Linked DNA regions of Macaca fascicularis. The protein of the gene in region 1 purifies or fractionates together with the protein of each later gene. This does not show direct contact. Links are inferred from orthologs where the notes say so. Each region holds a gene or a part of one and is shown on either strand. Other genes may lie near its edges.

The links. Proteins that work in one complex are often made in the same cells at the same time.
Region 2: the proteins of PSMF1 (region 1) and PSMA2 purify together in Homo sapiens (affinity purification with mass spectrometry; 3 studies listed by BioGRID and IntAct, with this or other methods). This does not show direct contact. The link is inferred for Macaca fascicularis from reciprocal best matches to the Homo sapiens genes PSMF1 and PSMA2.

The regions. Positions count from the first base shown.
Region 1 is NC_088384.1:86,262,152-86,270,245, reverse strand, and holds the start of PSMF1 (proteasome inhibitor PI31 subunit), read left to right. Parts: upstream 1-3,310; 5' UTR 3,311-3,457; coding exon 3,458-3,586; intron 3,587-8,094. UniProt on the Homo sapiens protein: Plays an important role in control of proteasome function. Inhibits the hydrolysis of protein and peptide substrates by the 20S proteasome. Also inhibits the activation of the proteasome by the proteasome regulatory proteins PA700 and PA28.
Region 2 is NC_088377.1:87,361,598-87,369,157, reverse strand, and holds part of PSMA2 (proteasome subunit alpha type-2), read right to left. Parts: intron 6,902-7,560; coding exon 6,825-6,901; intron 6,119-6,824; coding exon 5,986-6,118; intron 4,651-5,985; coding exon 4,528-4,650; intron 3,379-4,527; coding exon 3,297-3,378; intron 1,888-3,296; coding exon 1,814-1,887; intron 48-1,813; exon of another isoform or gene 1-47.

The DNA.
Region 1 (8,094 bases):
AGCGTTCTATAAGATGCCAGCTACAACCAACTGTATGCAAAGCAGTGTTGAACCAAGGGGTGGGGATGACGGAGCTGCCTGCCCTGGTGCAGACAAGGAGTGGGTACATTTGCTGTAAAAAACTTTAAAGTAGTAATAAAAGAGACCAAAAGTCAGTCCACTTTTTGCTATCATCATGAACCAGCAATTTACATCAACTTCAATGATAAAATTCTCCACCTGACTAAGGCTGATAGCTCTCACTGTCCCATGCCCACCCCTTGGTACCCCACTGACGCCAAGCACACTGAGGAAAGAGCAATTAATCATGGGCAAAGAGATGAGGGAAACCTCACTCAGGAGACAACATTGACCTTCTAATCACACACAGCTAGCTGCATTCCACCACGCCTTTGCACATACTGTTTCCTTTTAGTGGAACACCTTTTGCTCCTAAATCCACTTTTTTTTTTTTAAGACAGTCTCGCTTTGTCACCCAGGCTAGAGTGCAGTGGCTTGATCTCAGCTCACTGCAGCCTCCACCTCCTGGGTTCAAGTGATTCTCCTGCCTCAGCCTCCCAAGTAGCTGAGATTATAGGTGCCTGCCACCACGCCTGGCTAATTTTTGTATTTTTAGTAGAGACAGGGTTTCACCATGTTGGCCAAGCTGGTCTTGAACTCCTGACCTCGTGATCTGCCCGCCTCAGCCTCCCAAAGTGCTGGGATTACAGGCGTGAGCCACCGTGCCTGACCAGTGCTTTTTTTTTTTTTTTTTTAAACACTAGACAGTGAGCCCTATAGGGACAGGAACCTGTTCATCTGTGTCTGGCCCACACTAGGCACTTAGGAATGGGCTGCCACTAAGTAGGCACCTTAAGTGGACACCCTGCACTATGGTTCATGGCAGCCCAGCCTATCAAAGTTTATTGATGGAATGAATCTGTAGAACTTTTCCATAACTGGATAAGGGTATCACAACAGAAGGGACAGAACAAGCAAAAGCAGGGAAGCCCGAAAGTGCAGAACTTCTCAGTAGAAAGGGCAAATAGCTTTATGCCACAGGCAGTACATCTCAGAGAGGAGTTCCACAGCCATCAGCTTTAGTGTCGTCCAGAATGTGGTCAACATACATGCACTCTTCCTCAGACCTTCTCATCCAGAATCTCTGCAGAAGGAGTTCAAGAATCTGGGTGTCTCAAGGAAACTCTAGGAACACAAAATTTGGAGAGGCACAGGACCAGCTGACAAAGGGAGTGGTGAACTATAAAGAGATAACAGTGGCCTGATTGGGTTGGGGCTAGGACAAGAATTCATTTCTTCATTCAGTATTCATTCTTTCTTTCAATAAGTATAGATTGATCCCAGATAGCATTCAGGTACATATGTGCACAAGGTAGACATGCTCCCTGTTTCTTTGTCACAGTCTAGTGGAAAGACAGTCATTAAATAAGCAAAGAAATAAATACCTAATATAGTTTCAGGTTATGATTAGTGCTTTGCAGGGAAAAAAAAAAAAAACAGGAGAGGGGTTAAAGACTGGAGAAGGTTATTTGGATGGAATGGTCTGGGAAGCCCTCTATTGAGGATGGTAGGAGTGAGGGATGGAGCCTCTAGAAATGAAGAAGCAAGACACGTAGATATTTGGGAAAAGAGCATTCCAGGAAGAGGAATGCAAAGGCCTAAACAGAACACATGAAAGAGGGAAAGTGGTTGGGAAGCTAGATGCTGGAGGATCAGACCAGGGTGGAAGCAGTGAAGGTGATGGGAAGTGGTCAGATTCATAATATATTTTGAGAGTGGAGTCAACTAGCTTTGCTGTTGGACCAGATGTAGCTGTGAGAGAAGGGGAGCCAAGGTCATTGCAGGTATAAAGGGGATGGGAGGACAGTTGAAGGAGATTGAATCAGAGAGGTACAGGACTGGCAGGGCTGGGGCAGGAGGTGGCAGACCACATGCAGGTTCCTGCAGACCACGGGGAGGACTTTACTTTTCCATTGAGCGTGATGGGAACCCTGTGAGATTTTGAGCCGAGGGATGTGATCTGACTTGTTTTCTTTTTTGTTTTTGTTTCTTTTTTGAGACGGAGTATCGCTCTGTTGCCCAGGCTGAAGTGCAATGGTGAGATCTTGGCTCATCGCAACCTGCACCTCCCGGGTTCCATCGATTCTCACGCCTCAGCCTCCTGAGTACCTGGGACTAAAGGCGTGCGCCACCACGCCCAGCTAATTTTTGTATTTTTAGTAGAGACAGGGTTTCACCATGTTGGCCAGGCTGGTCTCAAACTCCTGACCTCAAGTGATCCACCTGCCTCGGCCTCCCAACGTGATGGGATTACAGGCGTGAGCCGCCACACCCGGCGGATCTGACCTGTTTTCTAACAGAATCTCTCTGGTTGCGAAGTGCAGTACAGAGAGAGACAGGAATGGAATGGGGCAGTTCCGAGGCTGATGCCAGGCGTCCAACTGAAAGATGACAGGAGCTTGGACCAGGTTGGTGACTGGGATGGGGAAACTAAATTTATTTGGGTAAAAACAATAAGTGGATTTCATGAAACTTGTTGACGTAATGGGTGGTAAAAATCATAAAGGGGGTAGTCAAACAAATGATTGAAATTTGGTAATGGGTCAGGAGCTTCAGCTCTGCGGGCAGCAGTTGTGTCTTCTTGGAAAAATGGTTTCAACTCTCAGCCGTTTTGTCATCTGCAAAATGGGGATAATAATGGTACATCATAGAGTTGTTGAGAAGGTGATGTAAAGGTTTTAGTACAGGATGTAGCACACAATAAACACTTAATAAATGTTATCTTAGAAGCCAGACTGCTAGGTTCCTGTAACCATCTCAGTCATTCACCGGCTGGCTGTTGTCACCTTGGTCAAATTAGCCCTCTGTGCCTCAGTTTCCTCATCTGTGCAATGAGGCACATTAATCGTTAATATCAACTGCATAGAGTTGGGTTGTGAAGATTAAATAAATGAATACAAGTAAAGCATTTAGAATAATGTGGCCGGTAGTAAGCACTGCGTACGTATTAACGATTATTAAGAATGTATTTTAGCCACATTTCCCAGCCCCTTCCCCGGCCTAGCATAACCCATTTTGTGCATGGGAAGTCTAGCTTTCAGCAAGGTGGCCTCTTGGAGGGCGCTGTGCTTGCGTGAAGCGATCCTGTCGGCCGCGGCGAAGACCCAGGTTCCGGCTTTGAGGGGCCTCGCCCCGCGCGGTCCCTGGCGGAACCTTTTACTTCTGCGCTCGCGTTGCCAGCCCGGCGCGCCTCACGCAGTTGCGCCCGCTCCTGGGGCTACTTCCGGCGGCCCCGCCCCGCCCCGCCCCCGGGCGTCTCCATCTTGGTCTCAGGTGTAGACTCTGCCAGAGCTAGCGCAGGAGTGAAGCGGAGTTATAGCTACGTCGGCCGCGGAGCTGGCTCACTGCACTACCCCCTCCCCCTTCTCTCCTCCAGACGCCGAAGTCGCTGGCGCTCATGGCGGGCCTGGAGGTACTGTTCGCATCGGCAGCGCCGGCCATCACCTGCACGCAGGACGCGCTCGTCTGCTTCTTGCATTGGGAAATGGTGACACACGGCTACTACGGCTTGGGTGTCGGTGACCAGGTACGCCACGGAGCCGGCCAGGGTGGAGGAGGGAACTGTCTTCTGTCCAAACTCAGAGGCCCGGAGGCCTGGTCCAGAGCGCCCGATTTCCCCGCCTTTCCCAATGCAGGGCCTGGGGCACATGACAGCGTTGGTAAAACCTGCGGGTCGGAGGTTGCTCACCTGCTCCAACCCAGCCCAGAGTCCCTCACAGCACAGCTGGCACAACATGATTTGTAAACTCAAGGGCAGAAACTCGCTTCAACACAGCCTGGCAGCCTCTCAGGCCAGGACTGTGTGGACCTAGCATTCCATAGAATGGAAAAGAATCCAGACGAGTTTAGCTCCCCAGAGCACTCCTCACCCACCTAATCTCCTCTGAATTCCTTCCCACCCAGCCTCGGGGTGAGGGGACTGACTCAGTTCCCCCCTCATACCACACTAGAGCCTCCACCAAACATCTGGATCCAAGCACAGGTACGGGAGTGAGCTTTGACCTACTCAGCCCCAGGCCACGGCCCTTTTTTCACCCCTTAGCATGGGCCCAGAGAGTTCACATGCCTTTCACGCTTTACTGAAGGGCCCAGCGTAGTCCACTCGCTACTGCCATCCCCAGCTCAAGCTCTAGGAAACAGTCCCCCCTAGAATCGTATACACATACAGCCTGGATGTGAGAGTCATATAAGATTTTCTCCTCATAGCTGTCCCCATAGGGCCAGCCCCCTCCACTCCCATCCCCAGGCTCCACCTCTTACACCTAGGGACGTTGTTGTCATCCCCACCGAGTTCCAGGACCGCTGGGCCCAACCCACCTCACTAATTCTTTGCTCTAGCATTCTTCTGTCTTTGCTGTCTCTTCCCTGTGACCCTCACCCCCACATCCACATCATCCTAGACATCTGCTTGCTGGGACAACTGGGCCTGCCTCCATGCGTGCCCCTCACTGTCACTGTTCTCTCACTCTCAGAACCAAGACCAGCCATGGGAAACAGACCACCCCGTCACCCTTCCTCTCCTTTTTGACTGCTTCAGTCCTCAACTCCTCTAATCATTTTTTTTAGCTTCTCAAATAGAGTCTTAATTCTCCTCTCCTGACACAGCTTTAGGGACCTGTCTTCAAACTTGTTTTGTACATTCTGAGCACTTAGGCAAGTATCCCCTTTCCCCTCCCCCTCACTGCTGTCCCTATTCCTCTCTGTCTCTTAGAACTAAAGACCAAGACCACGATACCCCTCTCACACTTTACCTCCTTCAGCAGGAACCAGAGCCTAAGAACTGTCAGGGATTTCTGGCTCTTCCCCTGCCCGCCCCCGACCTCAGTTATCTCACTGGGACCCCAGGTACACACTCAGGATCCCCATTCCCACCTCCAAACTCACACATACTTCATCTCTCAAATGGGCTCTATGACTGGAGATGAGGATGGAAAAGAACAGCCAGCCTTTCACACACACACACCTGGAAGCAGGAACCATTTCACCTTCCCAAACACATCTGTCCCTGTCCTTTCTCTTTGTGCTGCCCTTCATTCCACATACCTTCCAAATGCCTTTCAGCATTTCAGACCTTAGTACCAGGTAGAGACACATTTCAGTGTCAGGCTCCTGTTTCAGTGCATAGTCCCCCTAACAGAAATCTTGTCTCCCCACTTGTCCTACTCCAGCTTTTTAATCTTGAGCAGCTCTTCACTTGCCCCAGTCATTTTATTTCAGCTTTTCGTAGATTCTTCAAAGAAACTGATATCTGGGATGGTGCAGGGGACAGTGGGGCTGAGAAGAGGAGTAAGATTTGATTTTGACCTGGGAGCTCCTCCATTGGCCCTCAGCTCTCTTGTCCTTCAGATGGAACAGCTGTGCTCTGCACTGTCCCTTCTCATGTACCTCACTCCCCTTACATACCCCTAACTAGCTACTTCTACTCTGCCACACTGTCAGAACCCTGTCCACCTCTGCTCCGGAACTTGTTCTAGAGGGTGTGCCTGATGCCCTTCTCTTCTTGCCATTCCACAAATAAATATCAATCGCTGTGAATCTGCTCCCACCATTCTTACCCTCACTCATCCTGTTGAATCACTTTGACAGTTTGGGAACATCAGTTCACATAAGTCGACACCTTCTTTTAGCTGGCATTATCACCTTTCCATACACTCAAGGCTGCAAAATTTTCGGATGAAATGTACAGAAAGAATACAATCTCATTTTAATACTGTTTTTTTCTGTTGTTGTTGTTGTTGTTGTTGTTTTTCCAAAAAAAAGGCCTTGACCAATTCCCCAAGGTCCATCTGATTTTTCTCTGTTCATGGTGCTATTTTTTGAGCTTCTGCAGGCCAGAAAAAGATGCTGGTTTCAGAAATCTTTGGGGAGGCCCAGGACCCTGGGGAATGGGGTTTTTGTAAGGCATTGCCACCTTTCTTCCTGAATCTTGCATGCTCTTGAAGGAATGGGTGTTTGGATTGCAAACTAGAGCGTGGTGTATTTTTGCTTCTCTCTGCCTTTTCTCCTTGATTGCCAGTGGGGCTCAGGTTGCACTTGTCCTCCTGTCACTTCTGCTGAGTCTACTTTCATTCAGAGTGGAAGCTGGAGAGGCATCTTTCCTGTTAGTTTATTTAAAAGGAGGTTTAATTTTTCAGCCTGGGGCCAGCCAACTCAGCTGACTCGATTGTATTTTCCAAGCTCAGAGGATATTTGTGTTGCCTCTCCTGCCATCTCCTGTTTCCACCCTTCTGGGGGTGATAACGAGAGGAAGGTCCAAGAGTGTATGCTTGACTACACAAGTTGACAGTTAAATGGAAAGCTAGATTGTCTGCTTTCTCTTAGGTTTTACCTCCTCTGTTATAGGGGAATTGTGTACGTAAAACTTGATTAGAAGACCAATGCAGCCACTGGCTTCAACAAAAATCCAATCTTAGAATTTGGATTTCTTTCTTGATGTCAGAACCACTCCTTGCAAGAACTTTACAGCTTTGCCAAGTGGTTTAGGTGGCAAGGGGATAGGTAAGGGATGACTTAGGTGGTCATCGACATAAGTTAGATAATTTTGTTTTCTGTTGTGGAGAATGTAAGGATTGTGATGAAAGAGAGAAAATGCCCAAAATGATCTGTTTAAGTTTCTTTGGGTGCATGTTAGCTCAGAGGCATTGGGTCAAACTCATGACCATTAAAGAACGCTTCCAGTGCCAGGATTTTACCTAGGAAGACAGTTATCTTTATTCTTTTAGGGCCATCTTATGGACCTGGCTGGGGAAAACCTTCTCTAGCCATGGCCTGGGGCAATCAGGAGCTCTGAATTCCAAGTACAACCCTACAGCTGACTTGCTGAGACCTTGGTCAGCTCTCTGACCCTCTCAGGCCTTAGAATTGTCTTTCTTTTTTTTTTTCAAGGTGGAGTCTCACTCTCAGGCTAGAGGGCAGTGGTGCAATCTTGGCTCACTGCAACCTCTGCCTCCTGAGTTTAAGCAATTCTCCTGCCTCAGCCTCCCCAGTAGCTGGGATTATAGGTCCCCGCCACCATGCCTGGCTAATTTTATTTTGTATTTTTAATAGAGACGGGGTTTCACCATGTTGTCCAGGCTGGTCTCGAACTCCTGACTTCCAGTGATCTGCCTGCCTCTGCCTCCCAAAGGGGTGGGATTACAGGCATGAGCCACTGCACTCAGCCTCAGGCCTTTGATTTTTCATCAGAGGGAGTTAAACCATGTGACTGTGTACTTAGGCTGCTTTCCAACTGTGGCTTTCTGGGACTCTTGATATTTGATGTCAGGGTTTACAGGGCAGTTGCATGCCATGTTTGACCTGATATCCCCAGGGTCTGTCCTCTGTTTACTGGGAAACATCAGTTGCACAGCAGTTAGAGACAGCAGTTTCACCTGACTTCAGGGATTTTCTGTAACTCTGGAAGCCAAAGGTGATGGGGAGGTGAGCAGACCAAATTGTTTATATTCCAAGAGAGAACTGTGGTGGTTTGAATGCTGTACATGGAGGATATAATATAAATTTAAAGGCCTTTGACAGAGCAAAGATGAGGATGTCATCAAATTTCTGGCTTCCAAAGTAGACAAATCCATAATGCTAAGCACTAAACATATTTGGGAAAGTTACCCAGTTTGGGGTGAGGGGATAGTTTCTCTTTCTCAGAAGAGTGGTTTGATTAGTTTCATTTTTGTTTTTCCTCACTCTCATTTCTGTGCTTCAGGCCTGTGAATTTCATCCTCATCCAGCCAGGTTTTAAACCATGCCAGCTGTGACATCCTCAATTTTATTTGTTTCTGAGCACCAGGGGTGACCAAAGAGGACAGGCCGGCAGTTCTCAATGTGTGGTCTCCCCTTGTCCTTGGTGTGTGAAGTTTTGCTTTGCTGGACCTTTGTCTTTTCCATTTTCTTCATCTCCGCTCCCACTCCCTCCCGCTGTATTCTCATTGACTGCAGATCTTCCCAGTCCACCTGACCCATGGTGAGCAATATAAATACACATCCATGAAAAAAGATTCTAACTTTTTTTTGTGCTTTTTAAAATTTTTACATAAAGGTACT
Region 2 (7,560 bases), on another chromosome or scaffold:
AGAATTCAGATTCCATCTATTCTTCAACTCCTCAAGTTAAGGCCTGAGCATCAAGCATGTGCCACAGATAATATACAACTGGACTAGAACGAGCAAGCAGAGAAAAACATCAGCCTTTCAGAGTTACTCTCTGCTTAAGGCAAAAGCAGTAATAAATAATGAGGAATATGAATTAGCTCCATTGCTGGAACAACTAACTTGGTGTTACCTGTAAGTGAAATCTCAAGAGGATCAGATGAAGGGAGGCTGAGTTATCCTCTTGTAGTACAATGGCCTGTCATCTTTTTAATGAGTATGTACAAGACAACATCCGACTTCTCTTATTACAATTAAAAGTTCTTGCAGCTGTTTATATCATTATGGAGAAGAAAAATATATTGGCTTATTTGTCTGACTTTCCCTTAAAGCAGAATGTCTTTGTTGTTGTTTTTTGCTTTGGTTGTAAAGAGGGAATACATGATAAAGTAACTGGTTTAATTTCTCTTTCATTGTACACTGGTTCTGAACATCTAATTATTTTTAGTTGTCTAAATAAAATGCCTCTGAAACAAAAATAAAACAAAACATATCATGTAATAACAATGTGAAATATTTGGAAGACTCATTAATATAAAAAAGAAAAATGAAAAAGTACCTTAAGAGCCTAAGATTAAATTTACCATTTAAACCCAGGCCTAAGATTTTTAATAACCTTAACATTACATGAAAAATGTACTGTGAAGGCTCCTCTGTTAAACGGAGTTACAAAATTTTTTATTATTATTCAGCCATGAAAAAATGAAATCCTGTCATTTGCAGCAACATGGATGGAAATGGAGGTCATTATGTTAAGTAAAACAAGCCAGGCATAGAAAGATGAATATTGCATGTTCTCACTCATATGTGGGAGCTAAAAAAAGTGGATCTCATGGAGGGAGAGAGTAGCACAGTGGTTACCAGAGGCTGGAAAGGGAGACGGGAAGAAGAAATGAAGGAAGTTGGTGAAGGGGTATAAAAATGCAGTCAGATAGGAGGAATAAGTTCTGGTGTCCAATAGTACACTCAGGAAATTATTTTTCTTCTCCCTATTTCAGAACAGCTAGAAGATGTGCAATGCTCCCAACACAAAGAAAAGATAGATGTTTGAGGTAACGGATATCCAATTACCCTGATTTGACACACTGTATACAGGTATTAAAATATCACATATACTGCAAAAATATGCGCAACTATTACATATCAAGAAATAAAACATTTTCCTCTTCAAAAGCTTGGAGAGTTTTGAAGGACTACAGTAACACTGAGACTAGAATACAGCTGGAAATAAGTGAGGGCAGCTTGTACTTGGGCACCGACAGATTTTTACATAGTGCTCCACTTTTTATCAAGCACACATACCAAATATTTAATATACCTTCAACTCCAGGCATTTGGTTTCACAATTTTTTTTACTGTCATAATGTAAACTATTATCATTAAATCATTTAAAAATCTGTCTCCCCAAATTTTTTATTCCAGATTCAATGTTCTTTTTCTCCCTCCTAAAATGGCAGAAAAAGTGAAGTAAAAAGTAAAACAAAACAAAACAAAAAAGCATTTAGGAAACCATAGAATGTAAAAAGACAACTCCTTAGGAAATGAATATTAATTACCACTCGATATACTGAAGACTAGGAAACTAGGAGGGAGATAAGTTTTTGATTTATCTGTAACTAGATTAATATACAGAGTAATACAGCAATTTTCTTTAGTCCCATGATATTAATTACTTAAAGAGCACCAAAAACCATAAAGTGAGTTTGCTAATGAATGTAGTTACAGTGAGTGAGCCTACCTTTTCTCAAGGAAAGTTTTCCCATTCACATAGTTCTTTCCCATTGCTGTAGCTTTCCAGGCAAAGTAAGCTCCCTAATCAGGATAGAAAGAGTAAAGAACCATATTTTAAAACACAAATACAATTATATTGCCCTGCCATTTAATTTTTAGCTTTATTAATTGTTCTCTAACTTTGAAGGTCACAGAATATTATTAGAATGGAAAACATCACAGAATAGGTTATTTTTTTTAAGAAGGCTAGAAGGATGGAAACCAAAGAGGCATGGAGACACTTTTGGAGGTTCTGGACATTTTTGATATCCTCATTGTAGTAATGGTTTCTTCAGACATTTACATATATCAGAACTCATCAAACTGATGAAGCTGGTGATGATGCAATTAAGTGTACATAAATTATGTAACAAAGCCAGTTAAAAGAAATTGAGGTTAACTTAAACAAATAATCAAGAGTAGTATTTTAGCGTCACAGACTGAAGCGATTTAAGTCTCTCATATAAATCTGAAAAATGGTGACCAACTCTTGATCATTAGTGAATAAATTAAAAAGAGAGCATCTCATCAGAAAAAATACCAAAAGAAACATAATCCATTATGTTTTAAATGAAAACAATTGTTTTTTAGATACAACAGAGGAAAATAGGACAAAAGAAGAAATCTGGATTCCAGAAATGGTGGCTTCCGCTACCTTCTGAAAAGGAAGATAAGAGGGCTTGTCACTTAGCTTTGGAAACTCAGAGATGGAGTAACAGCACTATCAAAGTTCCCCCAAATACTTATTTTTTCTGATTTAAGTAACAACCAAAATATTTTTCTTTTGCCATCTCAGGTTTTAAGAGTAGATCATAAGGTCTGCATTGAGTAAACTTCTAATTATCTAATAATCCATAAAACATGAAAGGTAATTTCCTAATCTTGAATTTTGTCTTAAGGTTCTCATAGCAAATGGGACAGATGTGGAGTAGTATTATCCTTTACAAATCCCTTCTATTCAGATACCATTCTTCTGCATTACAGCAGACAACTCACCCAAGGTACCAATTTCACAATCATTCTTGCAAAACACTGAATTCAAGACAGATTAATGTTTTTGCTGGAAAAGTCACTCAAGTCAACCCCAAGATTCAACTGACGGCAAACACCACAACACCGTCCTCCAGATCCACATCTTCAATTGCAATATTTCCCAAAGTTACAGGTTTAAATACATTTGATAACAACTATTTCAACAAATCACCCAAGTGTATGAAGTAAACATGGCAGAAGAAAAGAGGGTAGAACTAATACAGCTTCCTTATCAGAAGACCAAATTACCAAAATTTTAAATATACACACAAAAATGCATGACCTCATACCTTCTAAAGCCCAGGTGAAAAAGAAGAAAATACTGCTAAATTGTAAAGTTTTTATGGCTTCTATTTCTGTTAGATATTCAAAGAGCACTTTTAAAGACAAATCCCTCAAATACATCTACTGATACTTACAGATGGATCTGACTGAAATAAATATGGTCGTCCCTCATTCCAACCACAAATAAGTAAAGAAACTCCAAATGGACGAACACCACTGCAGACAGGAAAATGAAAATTACTTGGCATTTTCATGAAAGTCATCCTCAAGAATTTATCAGTATTCTCAAATAAAGCAAATTATCAGGCAAACTGAATTAGACTTGTAAGTTCCCTAAAAAGTATTTAACACCTTTCTGAATGAATCAATTCAAAACTAATTCTCTTTACAGTAGTGAGGAATAGTAGCCAAAAAAAAAAAATTTGGATTGAATAGAGTGTCACCTAAGACACTGGGGTTAATAAGTGTGGAGTAACATTTAGTGTCCTAACAAAATAACAACTTTTAATTAATGCAGCTTTTTCACTAGGTTTACTTGTCACAAAATGACAACTTTCAATTGATGCAGCTTTTCCACTAGGTTTACCTATTACAAAATGACAATTTTCAGTTAATGCAGCTCTTCCACTAGGTTTACATATCAACAACTACCTATATGCTATCTCATCCACACCCAAAGAAGCTGGGGAATGAAAAGAAATATGAATGTGTCAAAGAGCTGCTTTCATCATGTGCTTACAATCATTTCTGGTTAGAAACATAAATTTGAAAGTAGAGGCCAGGTGCAGTACCAACACTTTGGGAGGCCAAGACAGGCAGATCACTTGAGGTCAGGAGTTTGAAACCAGTCTGGCCAACATAGTAAAACCACATCCCTACCAAAAAAATACAAAAAAAAAAAAAAATTAGCTGGGCATGGTGATGCATGCCTGTGGTGCCAGCTACTGGGGAGGCTAAGGCATGAGCATCACTTGATCCCAGGAGGCAGAGGTTGCAGTGAGCCAGGATCATGCCATTGCACTCCAGCCTGGGTAACAGAGTGAGACTCTGACTCAAAAAGAAAAAAATAAAAATAAATAAAAGTAGCAATGAATTTCTGCCCAAAAAGTGTTTTAATCACTGGGAAAAGAACTTTTTATATCTAGAAGCTGCTTTCTGCTGTTATATGAGCAACAAGAAAACACATTTTTTTCCTTAAGTAAATATTCTAGATCTAGATAAGATCAGAAATATTCATCATAGTGATTTTGTCCACTTGTTAGGCAAATATAGGAATGGTAAGTCCCATTCTATGTATACATCTACTCTTTAAAATGACTTCCCCCTACAATTCATGGCACATTTCAAGTAAAAAAAGCAACTTACCCTGACTGAGTATATTCTTGCATCACAGAAGCTACTCTCTGTACTAGCTGAGCCGTAGGAATGGGTTCTTGGTACACAAGATAGTACTGTTGAGCTAGCTTTCGAGCTCTGTGCACAAGCACTCTAAGAAGGAAAAAATAAGATTTAATTACAAGGAAGATGCTCTACTACCCAAAGACTCATTCTTCTTTTACAGGCACGTACCTGCAGCACCAGTTTAACATGTATTGCTTTAATGGTGGCTGCTGGATCAAAGCTAGTCTTACTCTAACATTGGATTCCAGTTGATATAGAAGAAAATATCGAAGCATCATAGAGTACCAGTTAGCTTAAAAGTAACAGATTTAATGTACAAAAATGAGAATTTTATCTCACTCCATGGCTTCTTCAAGATTGTCCCCCTTATCCAAGGGCAGCCACTTGTCTTTTTATAGCTCACCCCAGTCCACACGTGCATACAAGCACACATAAGCTCACAGGCACACAATTCTGGGCATATTTTTCTCACTTCAGGTCACTACTTCCTGCAGACTGTTTTAATCTCTCTGCCTGTGCTTCAAAGAGTACCCTTCAGAGATTAAGAAACAGTAAGAAACTACTTGTAACTAAAAATGTAAAATTCAGCTGGGTGCAGTGTTTCACACCTGTAATACCAACACTTTAAAAGGCTGAGGCAGGAAGATCACTTGAGGCCAGGACTTTGAGACCTGCCTGGGGAAGACCCTGGGTTACTTTAAAGAGAACAACTCAGATGTGAAATAGGAGTGAAACTGAAGTGAAACTTTGTGTCTACCTATCTTGCTCCACAAAATCATGAGCAATAAAGTAATATTCCTTTTACTTGTTTAAATGACAGACACAGAAAGCTGTCAATCTCTTTCAACTTGGCTGGTACCCTGAGTAACAAGATTATTCTCTCTTCCTGTGAAATATAAAGGGGGTGATTATATGAGCACTGGGATCCTGGTTGGCTGCCACACTCAGTAACTTGCAGTGGTGTTTGAGAATTTTGTTCCTTTGTGAAGAACAGGAAAAGAGGTAAGGTTAACTCTGGATGGCGATGCTTTCTTTTGTTGCCTCATACTTTTTAGAATATAGTTTATTATAACATAAATTGCTCTTATCATTTTTAAACTGCACTGGCGAAAACTAAAGCCCTTATGCCCAGTTCCTGGGTAGTAGAAGAGGAATATGTCAGAAGGGAAAGTCCACTAAACAGAGAAAAGAGGAGTTATGTAATCTATCTACCTCCTCTTTCACATCTGAGTTATTCTCTTTAAAGTAACCTACACAGGCAAACTAAATTCAGCTCTCAATGAGGCTGCTATTGCTAAACAAAGCACACAAAAAAAGAGGAATCGGAAGATAAAAGGAAAACAACATTGGTTTTTCTCCTGAAAATACAGATTACAATCAATTCATGAGATGGTGAGAAACACTATAAAAAGTATAAAGTACCTGTAATCGGGGCCCATGCCACTGTACACCAAACCTATATGCTTGGTAATTGGTTCCACTTTGTGTACACTTCGCTCATCATACAGAATGGATTTCTGTTTTTTCTCAGTTGCTAATACCACACCATTTGCAGCTTAAAAAAAAGAGAGAGACCTAAATGTTTAATCATTTATAAGACTGTTTTAACAGCTTTCTATTATGGATGCACTAAACTCAAAAGTCCTTTATTTCCTTTAATTTATAAAACCTTTTCTTCCGGAGTCCTATTACCAAAATTACCTAAGAAATGGTAAGTCCATTTTTCCCTCACTGGTCATTAGTACTACACAAAAAAATCGTCCCTACAGCTATAGGTATTACATAACCTTTTGTAAGCACTCTAAAGATACCTGAGAGTTCACGTTTTAAAATAATGGATTTCTGCCTACTTGTCGCAATAGTCTCATAACATGAAATTTACAATAAATGATACAGCCTTTTAAAGTGAAACACAACATATTTAGCTTATGTTTTATAATTAAACTTTCCTAAATTATAAGGATAAAAACTGCCAGCAAGTAGTGATATAATCAGTGGGAAAAAAAAAAAAAAGAGTTTTCTGAATGAGAAAGACTACTGTGAATATTACAGCTAACAGATAAAGGTGTTATTATTTACTTTGAAAAGAAATTTGAATGACCTTAGACTTATTACTATTTAAACTCCAAAACACTGTAAATTAACAAAAAATTATTAAAAATTATACTACTGCAGCTCTGTATAAATTAACTACTAATTAATTCCAAAATAATCAAGATAACTACTAACAGGCATCTGAAATGAATGAAGCATTTAATTACCTTTAATTCCCACTGACGGGGCTCCTCCAGCTACAGCAGCCAAAGCATATTCAATCTGGACAAGTTTACCAGACGGGCTTAAAAGAAACACAGGTATTTGTTAAGTTCACATATCATCCAATATTTATTGTAAGAACATCTCTGAGATAGTACAGACATTCAGGTCAAATCCAATTTATCCAACCCCAGGGAGTAGCTGGCCTTTGACCTCTATCATGAAGTGGCACAGAAACCAAGTTTACAGCTGGGCACAATGACTCAAGCCTGTAATCCCAGCACTTGGGAAGGCTGAGGTGGGTGGATTACCTGAGGTCAGGAGTTCAAGACCAGCCTGACTAACATGGTGAAACCCTGTCTCTACTAAATATACAAAAATTAGCTGGGTATAGTGGTGCACGCCTGTAATCCCAGCTACTTGGGAGGCTGAGGCAGAAGAATCGCTTGAATCCAGGAGGTGGAGGTAGCAGTGAGCCGAGATCACACCATTGCACTCCAGCCTGGGCAACAAGACCGAAACCTCATCTCAAAAAAAAAAAAAAAAAAAGAGAAAAGAAAAGAAAAAACGAACGAAACCAAGTTTACAAGGCAATTAGAACATACTCCTACTGAAGCACTACTTTCTCTTTGGTTTTTGTCTGCCACACGGAGCAGTGGTATTACTGTTGCTTCTTTTCACCCTAAGTTTTCTGTGCTTATTTTCTCACCTGTAAAATGAGCACACAGTAACCACAACTGG